2 linked regions of the Diceros bicornis minor genome follow. The protein of the gene in region 1 purifies or fractionates together with the protein of each later gene. This does not show direct contact. Links are inferred from orthologs where the notes say so. Each region holds a gene or a part of one and is shown in the gene's direction. Other genes may lie near its edges. The genes, in order: ASB2 and RNF7.

Evidence for each region.
Region 2: the proteins of ASB2 (region 1) and RNF7 purify together in Homo sapiens (affinity purification with western blotting; 3 studies listed by BioGRID and IntAct, with this or other methods). This does not show direct contact. The link is inferred for Diceros bicornis minor from reciprocal best matches to the Homo sapiens genes ASB2 and RNF7.

Annotation. Positions count from the first base shown.
Region 1 is NC_080763.1:39,509,437-39,518,065, reverse strand, and holds the start of ASB2 (ankyrin repeat and SOCS box protein 2), read left to right. Parts: upstream 1-5,125; coding exon 5,126-5,331; intron 5,332-8,629. UniProt on the Homo sapiens protein: Substrate-recognition component of a SCF-like ECS (Elongin-Cullin-SOCS-box protein) E3 ubiquitin-protein ligase complex which mediates the ubiquitination and subsequent proteasomal degradation of target proteins.
Region 2 is NC_080741.1:11,971,736-11,980,529, reverse strand, and holds the start of RNF7 (RING-box protein 2), read left to right. Parts: upstream 1-5,299; 5' UTR 5,300-5,334; coding exon 5,335-5,509; intron 5,510-8,794. UniProt on the Homo sapiens protein: Catalytic component of multiple cullin-5-RING E3 ubiquitin-protein ligase complexes (ECS complexes), which mediate the ubiquitination and subsequent proteasomal degradation of target proteins.

The DNA of each region.
Region 1 (8,629 bases):
AACTGAAAGAGCCTTGGAAATCTTCTAGCCAAAACTCTCCTTTTGCAATGGGAAAACTAAGGCGCAGAGAGGGATAGGGACTTGGCTGAGGTCACACAGCACTCTAGCATCAGCATGGAGACTATAATCCAGGTCTCTGACTCTCAGTCCAGTGCTCTTCCCCCTTACCCGCTGGCCTGGAGCAGATGCCCTCAAACAGCAGCAGCTCGATGCTGGGCCAGGCACTGGGCACCAGCACTCCGGTCAGCGTAGCACCACATACACTGAGCCCTGCCTTGTGCCAGGTTGGGGGTAGAGTCAGATCTTGGCCCTGGAGAAGCGGAGGGGGTCACTCCTCACTGGGCAGAGCCCTTCCCCCACACTCCCGAAGGCCGACCTGGGCCCACCAGACCCTGCAGGGACCTCAGCCACAGGGAAGCAGGGACGGGGCAGGAAGCCAGGCTGGGCCAGCTGGGTGGGGACCAACCGGCTGCACAGCACCCCCTGCCAGGACGGGAGGGCCAGGGGATGGGCTCTAGACCATCCTGCCATTTAACAGATGGAAAACCCAGGGCCCAAGAGAGGAGAAGAGGTGCTGTGGCTGAGTTGGGACATGAACCCAAGTCTCTTGATTTCCAGCCTTGGGCTCTTTTCATAATAAACAAAACTGAGGTTGGTGCTACTGCTGCTGCTGCAAAAATAATAATAATGATAACACCCCAAACATCAGGCACAAAATGACTTTGAGGTCACAGTGCCCCTTTCCCCTCCCTAAAGTGGAACACAGAGCAGCCGCCAGAGTACTGATCTAGGGCAGTGGTTCTCAACCCGGCTACACACTCACATCGCCGGGGAAGCCTTCAACACAGCAGTGCCTGGGCCTCACCCCTGGAGACTGTGAGCTCATGGTCTTGGGGGGACATGTTTTCAAGACTCTCTGCCAGGCCTGAGAACCATGTGTTAATATGATTTTGACTGCATATAACAGAAAACCCCACTAACAATGACTCAAACCATAAGGATCTTCAGTCTTTACTTAACAAGCAGGCCCTGGTGGGCAGACCCAGCATTGGTTCGGCCGCTCAACAATATAATGAAGGACCCAGAAGACCTATCATTCACTCTGTCAAACTCATTGTATCAACACTGTCCCCCTCATGGTTACAAGATGGCTGCTGCTGCTCCAAGCATCAAGTCCTCCAAGCACAAAGCAGGAGTGTGGGCACAGAGTCACTTCTTCACTGCTTTCTCTTTTATTAGGAAAGGGAAAGTCCTTCTTAGGAGACCCCAGCAGAATTTCCTTTATGTCTCTTCGGACAAAACTACGCTATATGTCCACTCCTAAACTAGTCACTGGCCAAGGGATAAGATTGTCCCAACTGACCATGGGAGAGAGCACACTGTTGCCTGAACAAAGCCAGGTTCTGCTGGCAGAGAAGATGGGGGAAATGGCTGTTGGGTGGGCCATCAAGAGGGTCTGCCACACCCTACCATATGGAGACATTTGGCCACCAGTGCAGTTGACTTTAACTGGGCATTCTCTTTGCATAAGACACTGGCCTTGGTGAAGAGGATCTTGGGTCATGTCCACACATGGACTACTGACCACAGCCCAGAGGGAGAAGTTCTAGCATCGAAACACTTCTTAGAAGAATCTGGGTAGGCTTCCCGGAAGAGGAAGCACTTGCTCTGGGCCTTGAGGGATGAGAAGGAGTTCTAAGAGTGCAGGAGGGAGGGAGATGTGTCAGGCACAGCCCAAGCAAGGGCACTGGAGTGGGAACCGCAGGCGGGTTGGGGGAAACGTGTGTCCCCGCCTTACCTGGAAGTCAGGTGTGTAAAGGAAGAGGGTGAAGGGAGGGCGAAGACTAGATTTCGAAGGGCAAAACCACTGTGGTATTTGGTAAATTGATGGTATTTGCTAAAGGAAAACATACACATTTGTTTAATGGTAACAACTCTCCTTTGCTATTTGCTAGGGCTTCATAGAGCAACAGTTGTTACTCTTAGGGTGGTAACAGGAATTGGAAAAAAGAATATCTACCAAGAGCTCGGTGTCAGGTGCCACCCCTCATCCCCTCCCCCCATGGCTGTCCCGCCTCTATTTGTACTTTATGGCTGGTCATTCTCCAAAGTGGTGGTTCCCGACCACCTGGGGGGCTCTTCAGAGAAGTATGATACCGGCCCCACTCCCAGAGATCCTGACTTAATTGGTCAGAGGTGGGGCCCAAACACTGATACTGTTTAGAGCTGATTTTATACACTTTTTAAGTAGCTATGTTTGCAGTATAGGTGCTCACAGAGAAGTCTACAAGCCAAACTTGAGCAGCTCCTGGGAGTCTCACAAAGGGAACCAACCAGCCGTGTAACGACTTAGTTCAAGAAACACAGCATGGGGACCAGCCCAGTGGTGTGGCGGTTAAGATCGCATGCTCCGCTTTGCTGGCCCAGGGTTTGCCGGTTCGGATCCTGGGCACAGACCGACGCACTGCTTATCAAGCCACGCTGTGGAGGCATCCCATATACAAAATAGAGGAAGGTGGGCACAGATGTTAGCTCAGGACCAATCTTGCTGAGCAAAAAGAGGAAGATTGGCAACGGATGTTAGCTCAGGGCCAAGCTTCCTCACCAAAAAGAGAAGCACAGCATGACCGGCTCCCTGGAATCTCCCTCCTGTCTCCCCTCAAAGGGAACCACTGTTCTGACTTCTATCAGCACAGTTTAGTTTTGCCTGTTCTTGAACTTTGTATAAATGGAATTGAGTATACATGTTCCTCATTATCTGACCTGCTCACTGTGGTTGGTGACATGCATCCTGTTGTGTGTAGTGGCTGTTTGTCACTTTCACTAGAGCATGCTAATCATCCCGTGAATACACCACAACGTAGTCATCCACGAGAGACATTGAGGAGTGTCCGTTTGGGTTTACCATGAATGGCGCCGTTATGATTCTTGAACTTACCCTTTGGTGAGCATATGTACACAATTCTTTTGGGCGTAGAGCTAAGGGTGGGCGCTTGGGTCACAGGGCATGTGCATGTTAGCTTTAGCGAATGCCATTCATTTTCCAAAGCGGTTTTACCGTTTCACACTCCTACCAACGGTGCTGAGCAGTCTGATCGCTCGCATCCTCCCCAGCTCTTTCTAGTTCCCGTCTTTTTCACTTGAGCCGTTCTGGTGGGTGTATAGTGGTATTGCGTGGGGGTCTTAATTTGAATTTCCCCCGGACACTTACGAAGTTAAGCGCCCTTCCATTTGGTTATTGGCCATTTGGATGTCCTCTTTGTGAAGTACTTGGCCGAATCTTTGGGGTATCAGTTAACTAGAGCCACAGGAATGCTACATAAAAAGCACCCCAAATAACCATCTACTCTTGTGCTTTGGGTCTGCAAGACTGCAGACAGGCTAATCGAGGCCAGCCCAGGCTGCTCTGCTCAGCTTCGGGCTGCAGGCCCTGCCGGGTGGGGCTCCTCTGTGCAAGCTGGACTCTGTGAACTGCCCCAGGGGGGTTTACTCCGGGGTGCAGCTAAAGGGCAGTGGCTGCAGGAGGAGCTCTGCTCTGGCGATGACGGGAAAGCCAGCCCCACTGCACAAGCCCATGTCAAGTGGCTGCTTTGTCATGTCCACCAACAGTTACCGGCCGGAGCAAGTCACAAGGCCAAGTCTAATCTCAGTGAGTAAGGGGGCGGGGCACTCTGCCTCCAGGGGGAAGGGGTGAATATTTGCCGAACAAACCAAATTATAGCACTGACATTTTGGATATATATATATATTTTTTGGTGAGGAAGATTAGCCCTAAGCTAACATCTGTTGCCAATCCTCCTCTTTTTGCTGAGGAAGACTGACCCTGGGCTAACATCCGTGCCCATCTTCCTCTACTGTATATGGGACGCCGCCACAGCATGGCTTGATGAGTGGTGCATAGGTCCGCACCCAGGATCCGAACCTGCAAACCCTGGGCCACCAAAGTGGAGCATGCAAACTTGACCACTACACCACTGGGCCAGACCCACATTTTGGATATTTTTAAAAAGACCTCATATGATTGTAATGTTCAGCCAGGGCTAAGAACCATTGACCTATAGTCACATCATGTGTCAGCTTAGTTGAGGAAAAGAAAATCAGGCTTAGTTGATTTCCTAAGAGCAGTTGATTCAACCAAAGTCCGTTTCTCCTTGAGGCATTTTTTTTTTTTTTCCAGAAGAGAGTCCCTGGAATTAACATGGCAAATTATTTTAATAATTGATTTTAACTAGGTCATGCAATCTTAAGTAGCGGGCCTGTGTCCGATTCATCTCTAGTATTCTCAGCCCTAGGACAGTGCAGAGAAATGGAGAAGTGCCGGGACAGATGGGATGTTGTCGGATAATTAGAAGGGAGGAATGTAAGCACCATTGTGTAAGCTCCAGGAGGGCAGAGATTTTTGTCTGTTGGGATCATTGTTGTATCATAGCGCTTGGAAGAGTGCCTGACACAAAATAGGTGCTCAATAAATAATCTCTCATTTAATGATGCATGCATACACGTATAGATAGGCCGTGTGGATTGGAAAAATGAATTGTGGATGGTTTGTTGGATAGATAAATGTATAGATGGATGGATGGGAGGATGGGTGGATAAATGGAAGCATAGATGGGCAGATAGATCAGAGGATGGATAATGGAGGAATGGGTGGATGGTTAGATGATAGATACGTGAGTGGCTGGCTAGGAGCGTGGATGGTTGAATGGATGGATGATTAGATAGTTGGATAAATGGATGGATAAGTGGACAGATGGGAGGGTGGATGGATATATGAGTGGCTGGATAGACAGACGGATGCATGGGAGGATGAATAAATGGACAGATGGGTGGCTGGTTGGATGGATGGTTAGATAGGTGGGTGGACTGGTGAATAGATGAGTGGATGGGTGGATGGATATGTAGATGAATGGGTGGTTGACTTGATCATATGACAAAATAAATGGATAAAAAATGATTGCGTGATTGCCAGAAGAGAGCACAGCCTTCCCCGTGGGTAAACATAGCTATGTTGCAAAACTGTTAGTGACCAGGATGGTTTTGGTCTCCTCACAGGGTTTTCTGATTTGCAGTTTCCTCCTCCCCTCTGAGTGTCTCTCCTGGAGGCTGGGCTGAGAAGTGGAGGAGGATGGCCACTGAGATCCGTGCTCGGGGCGGACAGCGTACCATTGGGCACGAGGAGTACAGCCTGTACAGCAGCCTGAGTGAGGATGAGCTGGTCCAGATGGCCATCGAGCAGAGCCTGGATGACAAGACTCGGGGCCCTGCCACTGCTGAAGCCACTGTGTCCACACGTGCCAATCGCCAACCTGCCCATTTCTACCCATGGACCAGGTGAGCGAGGAGAAACCAGCTGGGTCATCCATCAGGTGCAGATCCCAAACACTGTTAATCCAAGGCCAAATTATCGTGATCTCTAGGCTGCACTTTAACACCTTAATGACTTACATTTGTTATCTGAACGTACTGAGCTCTGATGGTGCCAAGTGCTGTGTGCTAATCCTGTTAAGGACCTTCTAGGAGGCTCTATGCTATATTCCCATTTTACAGATGAGGAAACTGAAGCTCAGGGCTGAGTAACTAGTTCAAGGTCACACAGCTAGTAGATGGTGTTGCAGAGATTGGAACTATCTGGGTCCAAAGCCCGTGGCTTGGCCTGCACAGCTGACTCAATGTTTGAATACAGTAAAACCAATGTTCTGAGTCTGACCAGAGCTTCCAACCCCGTCTATGCAGCCTCTCTGGGACAACACATCTGAGAAGCAAACGACAGCTACCCAGCAGAGCCATCCTGCCTCCTTGTTCTGGCTCCCCCATCTCAGCATGACCATCCCAGATGCAGGACCATCTAGAGCAGCACCACGTCGCGCCAATAGAAATACGGCGTGAGCCACAACTGCGGCGACACTTATGCAGCTGTGAACATCCTAGTAGCCACATTACAAAGTAAAGAGGAAGAGGGGAAATTAATTTGTGTCTAAAATATTATCATTTCCACACATCACCGATATAAAAATTGTGAAGGAGATTTTCACATTCTTTTTTACATGTCAAGGCTTTGGAATCCACTGTGTATTTTGCACTCACAGCGCCTCTCCATTCAGACTAGCCACATCTCAAGGGCTCACTAGCCATATGTGGCCAGTGGCTGCCGTACTGGACAGCACAGACCTAGAGGACACCTTCTCTGTAGGAGGTGGAGCCAGAGAGGTAATTAGGTCTTGGATCTTAAAATGCTTTTAGAAAAGAAATATACACATTTTAAAAATGTTTCTGCTCACCAGTGAGTCCAAGTCAAGTGTGTATTTTGGGGTTGGTGGAAGGGGCTTGGGAATTGCTGTGACAGTTGTGTTGGTGTTACCTTGGGGCATGGGCCTCAAATCTCATTGTCTCCAGCAGCCAGCTGACTCCCTGTGTGACCTTGGGCAAGTCACTTAACCTCTCTGAATCTCAGCTTCCTTCTCTAATAATAATAATAGTAACAACAGCAGCAACAATAAATAGACTTTTTCCAATGTCCAGTCCCAGTTGACAGGGATGAAGGTGGGTGACAGTCCGTCTCAGCCCTGATGAAACCTACCAGGGCGCTTCCCAGGTGACTTTGGCCCTTACTGAGGCTGGACCACCTCTGCCGGGCAGGCTGGGCAAAGGCCTGGGAGGCCCAGCCCTGAGGAGCTCCTTCTAAAGGGGAAGGCAGGCAGCCTCCTCGGGCAGCTGGAGGGAGTGTGAGGCTCCAGGTTACTGAGCTGCCCCAGAGGACGCCCCATTCTGCGACCCAACCAGAAAAACAGGAGCCCAGAGCCGAGGACTCCTCATGGGGGTGCTCTCGGAGGCCTTGGTTCCTGTTCTGGCCAGTTCAGCCAGAGTCAGACCACAGGTTCCCCTTTCTCAGTAGGGCATCAGATAGAGAGAGAGCACCCTCCCACCTACTGGGCCTGCAGCACAAGCCGGCACGTCCCGGGGCGTCTGCAGCCTTCTCCCCAGCATGGGGGCCCCACCCAGGTGTCCCAGGGACACTTAACATCCTTAGAACTGAAGGGGCTCTTGAGGTTGGGTCCTGACCCCCTCCTTCCTCTAGAGGGTAGGGAAGCAGAGACCCACTGTGGGACATAAACGTTCACCCAGTCTCCTAAAAAAAAAGCTCTCACAGAGGGGCTGGCCCGGTGGCGCAGCGGTTAAGTTCACACTTTCCGCTTTGGTGGCCTGGGGCTTGCGGGTTCAGATCCTGGGTGTGGGCCTACTCACCGCTCATCGAGCCAGGCTGAGGCGGTGTCCCACATAGAAGAACTAGAAGGACGTACAACTAGGATATACAACTATGTACTAGGGGCTTTGGGGAGGAAAAAAACCTCTCACAGAGAAGTGAAATGACTTAGCCAAGGTCAAGTGGCCCTCACCTAAGATCCAGGCACAAGTAATGTAGGGGAGAAGGATTCGGCCTTCATCTCACCCTTGATGTGACCTCAAACCTCCTAGGTTTGGTTCTGCCCCTTTGTCTCTGGAAGGAGGCTGGGCTTGGGCCCTGCTGGGGAAGTAAATCCCTTTACTCTGATTTTTGTGTGTGCTTGTGTGAGGAGGACTAGCCCTGAGCTAACATCTGATGCCAGTCCTCCTCTTTTTGCTGAGGAAGATTGGCCCTGGGCTAACACCTGTGCCCATCTTCCTCTACTTTATGTGAGACGCCGCCACAGCATGGCTTGACAGGTGGTGCGTTGGTGCGCACCTGGGATCCAAACCTGCGAACCCCGGGCCTCCAAAGCAGAGTGCACACACTTAACCGGTGCACCACCGGGCGGGCCCCCATTACTCTGACTTTTAACGTAATTCTCCTCCTCCTGCCCTGAATGCACACTGAGTGCTTCCCACGTGCCTGGCACACAGCCATTCAGTGATCCTTACGAAAGCCACACAAGCTGGATATTTCTGTGCCCGCTTTACATATGACAAAACATGCGCACAGTAGGACCAGGAACTGAACCACAGTCTGGCCTGATCTGAAGTTCAGACGTGTCACCAGCTCTGCCGATTCTGCAAAAGCCTCTTCTGTTTCCTCTCCCTCCTCCACCTTGAAGTGGGGTCGGTCTCACTACACCCGCCTCCCACCCACAGAGACTCAGGGTCCCCAGAGACATGAGACACACAGGCTTGTGCCTGACACCAGACAGGGCATCACAGTACGTGCAGGACCCGACAGAGTCCTTGTTTGCTTCTATCCCTGAATGTCACAGTTTCCATCCAAATAGACTCAGAGCAGGTGTAGGAACAGGATGTCACACATGTCCCCAGAGGTCCCACATGGTTGGCTCCTTCTCATCCTTCAGGTCTCAGATGAACTGTCACCTCTGCAGCAAACCCTGCCTGACCACCCTCCCAGGTCAAGTAGGTCGCCCCTCTTATCCCTCTCTGGGCTGTTTGCTTCACCACCCTGACTACGACTTACAATTTCTATGTATTTGTTTCTGCCATTAACCTGTGACCTCCTTGAGGGCAGGGGCCTCACCATCTTCCCTCCTGTGAAGCCTCGTGTCTAGCACACAGTGCCTGACCCATGGCAACACCCAGTAGCTGTCTGTGAGCGAATGAATGGGTGAATAAAGGAATGAGCGAAGAGGCAGCAGAGGAGAGTGGAAAG
Region 2 (8,794 bases), on another chromosome or scaffold:
GAAGAAAGTCAGAATCTTTATCTAAGAAAGAGAGACTCTTCTTTCATAAATATATCCATAGTTGGAAACAATAGGAATGTTTGGAAATAATAACCACTTTCTAAAAGACAATATCCCCCAAAATGGGGATCTTCCCCAAATAAGGAAACTTCTGATCACTCTACCCACCCCCACCAATGAAGATGTTAGACAGAAAGGGAAGAAGTGAGGTTGATCTATGTGTGGATGATAAATTGGATTAGTGGAATTTTATGTGCCATGACAATATGGTGCAGGGATGAAAATGAAAAGCGTGGACTGGGGAGTTAGATGAACCAGAATTCTCTGTGGAAACCAGCTGCTTTCCAAGTGTGTAACTTTGGGCAAGTCAATTAACCTCATTGTGCTTCAGTTTCCCTTTATGTAAGATACAGACAAGAATACCATCTATGGAGGGCCGGCCTGGTGGCGCAAGTGGTTAAGTGTGCCCACTCTGCTGCGGCCGCCCGGGGGTCGCTGGTTTGGATCCCGGGCGCACACCGACTCACCGCTTGTCAAGCCATGCTGTGGCGGCGTCCCATATAAAGTGGAGGGAGATGGGCATGGATATTAGCCCAGGGCCAGTCTTCCTCAGCAAAAAGAGGAGGATTGGCAGATGTTAGCTCAGGGCTGATCTTCCTCACCAAAAAAAAAAAAAAAAAAAAAAAAAGCATCTATCTCATTTGGTGAACATTAAATGAGAGGACACGTGGCAAGCATCTTAGGACAATACTTGTTTCTTAGTACATGCTCTCAAATGAATGTTAGTGGCTCTTACTACTGCTGTTATTATTGTTGATGTTAGAATTGAGTGATTCCAGTTATTTCACTTAGGACAGCTACATAAGAAAAATAGAAAAGAATAAAAAAAGGGAGACTTAAGACCTCTGCATTTTGAAGTTAAAAAAAAACAAACATTCATTCTATGTACAGGTGTAACAAGTGCTGGCAAGTTCGTGGAACCAAACCAACTGTGGAATAAATTATGTCTCCTCTTGAGGATCTTAGCATCTAGCAAGGAAGACAAGATCCTCATACATTAAAAGTAAACAACAATGGAGCATAAGAGTTGAAATAATATGTCATTAACCAGGGTAAGGAAGGTTATAGAGTAGTGAGATCAATTTAACAAATCTCCAGAACTTAAATATCCATTGTGTGAGGCCTCCTGAGAAATTATTCCTGATTTAAAAAAAAAAATTGAGGGGCCAGCCCCATGGCATATTGGTTAAGTTCACACACCCTGCTTGGTGGCCTGGGGTTCGCAGGTTTGGAACCCAGGCGTGGACCTACACACCGCTCATCAAGCCATGCTGTGGCAGCATCCCACATAAAAAATGGGCACAGGTGTTAACTCAGGGCCAATCTTCCTCCCTCCACTCCCCCAAAAAAATTGAAATTTGCCACTGACATCTACTGGATGAGAGTGTAAAATCTATATGCCTCTTTAGGGGTCTTTTCGCAATGTCTATCAAAATGAAAAATACATAGCTTTTGACCCAGATATTCTACTTCTAGAAATTTATTTTACAGATATACTCTCACACCTGTGCAAAGAAATATACATAAGGATGTTCACAGCAGCACTGTTTATTATACACTGGAAACAACTAAATGTCTCTCAGAGGATACTCAGGGAAATAAATCACAGAAAATATATGTAGTGGAATACTATGCAGCCATCAAGAGGAATAATGTAGATATGTAAATACTTATATGGAAAGGTAAAGTAATACTATTAAACAAAAAGAGCAGGCTAGAGAATAGTACATGTGAAAAATTCATATTAAAAGTGAATTGATGTAATATGAGCCAGAAATTTCACTTCTTCTTTTTTTTTTTTGTGAGGAAGATCAGCCCTGAGCTAACATCCATGCTAATCCTCCTCTTTTTGCTGAGGAAGACCGGCTCTGAGCTAACATCTATTGCCAACCTTCCTCCTTTTTTTGCCCCAAAGCCCCAGTAGATAGTTGTATGTCATAGTTGCACGTCCTTCTAGTTGCTGTATGTGGGACGCTGCCTCAGCATGGCCGGAGAAGCGGTGCGTTGGTGCGCGCCCGGGATCCGAACCCGGGCCGCCAGTAGTGGAGCGCATGCTTAACCGCTAAGCCACGGGGCCGGCCTGCAATTTCACTTCTGAGTATATACACAAAAGAATTGAAAGCAGGATCATGAAGAGATATTTGTACACCCATGTTCATAGCAGCGTTATTCACAATAGTCAAAGGTGGAAGCAACCTAAATGAATGGATAAGGAAAATATGGTATATACACACAATGGAATATTATTCAGCTTTAAAAAGGAAGGAAATTCTGACATATGCTACATGGATGAACCTTGAGGACATTATGCTAAGTGAAATAAACCAGTCACAAAAAGACAAATACTGTATGATTCCGCTTATATGGGATATTTAAAGTAGTCAAACTGAGAAACAGAAAGTAGAATGGTGGATGCCAGGGGGAGGAGAGGGAAATGGAGAGTTGTTTAATGGGTATGGAGTTTCAGTTTTGGAAGATGAAAAAGTTCTGGAGATTGATTGCATAACAGTGTGAATGTACTTAATACCATTGAACTGTACACTTAAAAATGGTCAGGATGGTAGACTTTATGTTATGTGTATTTTACCACAATTAAAAATTTTAAAAATGAGCTGATGTATTAAGTGTCTGCTTGCACATATATAGGAATTTCTGGAGAGTCTATTAACAGTACTTGCTTTTTTTCATTGTATACCCATTTTACTATTTTAATGTTTTTATCATTTATGAGCTCTCAATTTTAAAAACTTAAAATTGTTCAATAAACAGCAGTAACAGCATTTTTTGGTTGCTATGTGACCTGGTGCCAAAGAGTAAAAGAGACACAGTAAGTGCTATTATTTCATGGAAGGATATGAATAAATGGTGGCAAAGAGTGGTCGGTGAGGACACAAAGGTGTGTAAGTTTTCCTAAATGCAGAGGGCAATTTCAGAAATGTTAAAATGTGAGGGGAAAAAAAAAAAAGACCGCAGGGTGTGTTTGGATGACTGAGCAGACCAATTTGATGAGGGTCTTGGATAGCGGTGCTTGGGGAAGACGCTAGAAAAGTAGGGTTGGGGCCATATTGTGGCAGGATTTAAATGACCAACTGGGTCATTTAGATTTTTTTCTGACAATAACGTGGGGCTGTGGAATGTTCTGAGCAGGAGAGTGCCAGGTGGAAAATGGGATATAGGAAAATTAAACAGGCACGTTAGATTGAAAGCCAGTTAGACTGCGGGGGAGAGACAGGAAGGAAGTCAGGACACAATAATCCAGGGGCAGGGTGATGAGGCTCAGACTCGGCCCAGCCATGTACCATTTCTCCTCCTTAACCATCCTCTAGTCTTTCATCCTTTCATCTGAGTTTCCCTCCTTTTCTATTTCAAACTGCCCAGTTCCCACCAGCTGGGTGCATTTTATCCTCATCTGGTTCCAGCCTTCTTTTTGTATGAGCTATCTAGCATGTAGAGCCATCTCTAGTCAGATGTGTGGTCACTTAATATGAATAAAATGTGTGTTTTGTATGGTTCATCTGGGTTTGTTTATAGGCGTTTTTGTCTGGCTCACAAAGTTAGTGTGGTCAGATTCACATCTGCCACCATTACCACTGCTCTGCACAGGCTGACAGCTCGTAGAGGTTTGCTTTCTTCACTCGTTTCCTGGCCTCCAGGGCCTCTCACCTCCCCGCAGTTCAAACTTCACCTCTTCCTTGAGGCTTTTGCTCACTGTGTCAGTTCTCAGCAATGTCTCTGTCCCTCACAGCACTGAACACACCACTCAACAAACAGCACACATTATCATCTCGTCAAATGTGACCCTGTGTCCATATTTGTATTTTTACACATTTATGCTAGGAAGAAGGACCTTGCCACCCACTTACGAAAAAACTGGCCATGAAAACCCTGTGAATAGCAGCAGAGCATTGTCTGATATAGCGCTGGAAGGTGAGAGGATGGCGCAAAAGACCAGGCAGGGTTCCCCTCTGCTGTACACAGTGTCACTAGGAGTCAGAATTGACTCCACAGCACTAATAACAACAACACATTTATGCATCCTTGTCTCCTCTGCCAGGCTCCTTGAGCCTGGTTAGCACCTCCAGGCACAAGGCCTGGCATCAAGAGATGAGGGGATGATGAGGCCCAGCAAGAAGAGGTGGGAGGCTCTGAATTCCAAACCTGACACAGCAGGTGTCCACCACTAGGTGGTGGTGGTAATCAGGCATCTCCTTAGGCTCTCTGTGCGTCAGTTTTCTTATCTTTTAAATGGAGATGCTGTCTGCTTTGCTTGGGAAAATATAATAGGTAATATTACCCCGGGCTAGGAATAGAAGAACCCTGGCCTCAAAACTGTAACCTTCACCTAATAGCAATGTGCTCTTTAAGTTACTCACTTTTCTGGACCCCATTACTCCTACACATAAAAGGAGGAGGTTAAACTAGACCAGAGGTTCTCAGAGTGTGCTCCCCAGGGTTCCTGAGATCCCTCCTTCAAGGGACCAATGAAATCAAAACTATTTGCATAACAATATTCAGAGCTGTCTCTCTTCTCACTCTCACTCATGAATATAGTGTTTTCCAGAAGGTACATGATATGTGATGTTACTGCTCTAATGCTAATTTGTAATTGGTTTATTTCTGTTATTTTTAAATGAATGAGTACATTTAAAATTTTTCCCCCATTTTACATTTTCCTTTAAATTAAATATATATCCTACATAAACAAAAACTCTTTAAGGTCCTAAGAATTTTTAAGTGTTAAGGGGTCCTGAGACCAAAAAGTTCGAGAACCATTCAACCAGATTTCTAGAACATTCACTCAAATAATTGCGTCCCGTGAGGCAAGGCATTTTTTAGATACTGAGGATAAGGAAGTGATAAAGACAAGGTCGCTGCTCTGATGGAGTTTACATTTGGGAGGGACGAGGCAAACGAATACATTAACAAGATAATTTCTGAGAGCCGCAAGTCTCCCGAAGGCATAAAGCAGGACACGCGTTCCCCGCAGGGTGCGCCCGCTCTCCCCAGAGTGACACCGCACGCGGGCGACTCAGGCCTTCAGCCGGCAGCCGCCAGGAGGCCCTGCGGGCAGCCCCGGCGCGCGGGGCGGGGATGCGCCGGGCGCTGGCGTGCGGTGACGTCACTAGGCCGCGCCAGCCAATCGCGGGCAGCCGCTGCCGTAGGCCCCGCGGGCCTGCGGGCGGCGCTGTGGCCCGTCGGGCGGCCCCACAGAGCCGCCATAGCCGCCCTCCTCCCGCGACCCAACGTCTCGGCGGCCGGCTCCGCGCCGCCGTCATGGCCGACGTGGAAGACGGCGAGGAGCCCTGCGCCCTGTCGTCGCACTCCGGGAGCGCAGGCTCCAAGTCGGGAGGCGACAAAATGTTCTCTCTCAAGAAGTGGAACGCGGTGGCCATGTGGAGCTGGGACGTGGAGTGCGATACGTGCGCCATCTGCAGGGTCCAGGTGATGGGTAAGCGCTCACACGAGGCCCGGGCCGCGCTGCGGCCTCCGCGGAGCCGGCTCCTGGCGGGGGGCGGACGAAGCCTCGGAGAGACTCCTGCCCCGGCGCGAGCGGGCCGGGGACCACGCTGGACGGGAGGCTGCGGCCGCCGCCTGGGGGCTGCGCTTCAACAGGCGCCCGGCGCCGGGGGCTGGCGTTCTGTGGAGAGAAACGGGCAGTGGGCAGAGGAGTTAAACAGGATAATTTCAGGTAGTGACGGGTGTGATCAAGAAGATAAAACTGGGAGGCTTGGTGGGAGCTGGGAGGAACCACTTCGGTTTGTGTGGCCAGCCCCGGCAGCCCCTTCTGAAAGCAAACCGCGGAGAGGTCGGGGTGAAGGCCTTGAGTCAGCCGGGCTCGGTGATGGTTCTGCTCACACACCGGCGATGCCCCCGAGTCATCTTCCCGCAAACCACACCTCGGTTCCGCTCCTGCGAGGCGCGGGGAGCAAAAGCCTTCCCAGCCGCTGCATTTCTGGATTAGCTCCTGCTGTTCTGCTGGCTTTTAAATCCGCACGATTCAGGACGCGGCAGATGTCACTCGCTCGGCTAAGGGGGTACAGTGTGATTCAAGAATGTTTAAATTTCCTGGGAATTGAAGAATGGAAGCCCTTTATTTAGAAACACGAAACTTCTTCCCGGCCTCTCCCCATCATATCTTTCCTGAGAAAGATACTGCCCTGCTCGGCGTCGGTCCTTGACGGAGAACCCTGTTTCACAAATAAGTTTTATTTCTTTCTACGGTATTTTGAATAAAAATATTGGACCAAGGGAAACCTTTCAGAACAGCTTCATCTCGTTACGTTGTATATGGTTTCTGTTTTAAGATCTCAGATCACCTTGGAAAAGACGGGCTGTTTAAATGCAAGTTATAATTTGAAGTAAGGCATTTAAAACTAGTGAGAGCATCCTAAATGCCTTTTCTTGAGGGCAGATGAAGAAAACTGAGGTTTCTGTAGTTTTTAAACTTTGTGTCTTGTCCTAAAAAATGAGAGAATTGGAGAAAATAGCTTGAAGAGAATTGCTCTCCCTTCTCGAGGGATGAAATTTTAAACCTACCAGTATCAAGAGATTCCACAATTTACACTCTCTTTAGTTTGCTCTCTTGTGTTTTATTCATAAGGACTTGTTTCAGAAATAATTTACAACAATGGGATTCAAATATTTTTATTCTACTTTTGAGAGAACGTGATTTCTTTGAAACATGATCCACTTACTTTACATATTAGGTTTTAAAAGCACCTTCTTTATTGGCCTGCAATACAGCCCCTTTACTCCAACCCTTACTTAAGAACTAGAATCATAATTTCCAGTTTGGGTGGCATTTTTAGCTTTTCCAGGCGACTTAATCTTTTGGTCTCTTGCGAGAATGTTTATTTTTCTCTCCAAAGAAAAATTTTAAAATAGTAAGTAGAAATGCGGAATTTAAAATAATGGTTGAAATTTTGCAACAAATAAACTTTACTGGGATATTTAAAGTAAGTCAAAATATGAGCTGTCAATAGCTCACATTCACATTAACTTTCTAATTATAGCAAGTGTTCTGCTACTGTGGATTAATGTTGCAGGTGGACAACAGCTGTACTTTGGGTTCAGGAAAGTATTCTGGACTAGACCTTTGTATTTTGTTTATGAGGTGTTAAAATCCACTTAGTGGTCAGGTGACAGACGGCAGAAGGAAGTTTGTTTTTCAGACTCCCCAGCCCTTACCCTAGCATCATTCTGAAAGGTGTTACTGTTACTATACTCCTTAGAAATGTGCTCTTTTGGATATTAGAAACATCCTCAAAAGAAGCTTTTTCCTTAATCTGAAACTTTAGGTATTTTTTCCATATAAGTCAGTTTTTGATAATGAATCTAAATCAAAGCCATAAGCACCATTCAGGGATTTCTAGATTCTACAGAAAGAGCCCACTTAATCCCATTTCCTTAATATTTGGAATTCATCTCGTACACCTAAATGATTTATTATGACTTCTTGATCCAAGATTTACCTGTCAGCCCATTCTGATGTGGTTAACGCTCTCTTCCTCCGTTTCCACTCTCCTCTCTTCGTTCTGCAAGGAGCAGAGGGCACAGTGAGCAAGTGCTGATGAGGAAGAGGGGAGTGGGTTTGCTAGCACTGCCAAGTTCTGAAGAGCCAGAGTAACCAACATGGCTGCATGTTAACTTGGACATTTGACGTAACCTTTTGGAGGCTTGTTTTCCTAATTTGTAAAAGAGGCAGTTGGGATCACAAACTCGAATTCTGTGATTGCACAGAACCAGCCATGTCTCCACTGTTAGATCACGATCCTTAGGCTATTTAGTTGTTTGCCTGTCCACCTCCCCATATGCTGGTGAGACCAGGGACCCAGACTTGGCCATTTTGGTGTCCCAGTGCATAACTCCTTGTATAGAATAGATACTCAGTAATTGTGGAATTGAAGAAAGCCTCAGGAGGCAGTGGTTGTTTTTCATCCATGCTGAAGAGGCCAGGGTGGTGTGTTTTTTTAGGGTAAGGGCGTGCAGAGAGAAGCAAACAAATGCCTGAGCAGAACCCAGGGTAAGAGGAGAAGCAGGCTTCAGCTCCACCGTGGCTCTACTTTTACCTAATTATTTTTCTCCAACTTATGTTAAAAACTATTTTTTTCTGTTGGTTTGAACTTCCTTTTATCCAACTTTGATTCCTCTTCCAGCTAGTGAATGAATCTATTGCATAGCTCCCTGAAATATTCTGTTACCTCCTTCATCAAGCAAATAGTAATACAGATTGAATTTTGAAAACTTATAGTATACCCTTTAGGTTCTCATTCCTAGTGTTTACTCCCAAGTACTTTATTAAAATACTTAGCCATTGTTGGGTAAAGGCTTCGGGATCAGACTTATTTGTAAAGGGAACATTTTCTTAAGGAAAAAAGAGAACTTAGTATTTAGGAGGGTTTTTTTTTTTAATTTAATTTTTATATAGATTATACAGTCACATAATTCAAATATTTAGGCAAAAATACAATGAAAACTCCTTCCCATTCCACCCTCTCCCAGGTAAACTTTATTATTAGTTTCTTGGGTATCCTTCTAGAGTTTCTTTATGTATGTATAAGCAAATACCAGTATATAAGCATGGCTTATTTAAAAGGGTGTCTTGAAAATAAACTGCTTCTAAGGTTGATCTTCTAAGACATGTGAGCATGCTCAGTGAGCTTATAATAACTTCTAATATTGTGGAATATGGCATATTTTTCTCTAGTAGTTGCATCTTCCATCAGGACATCTT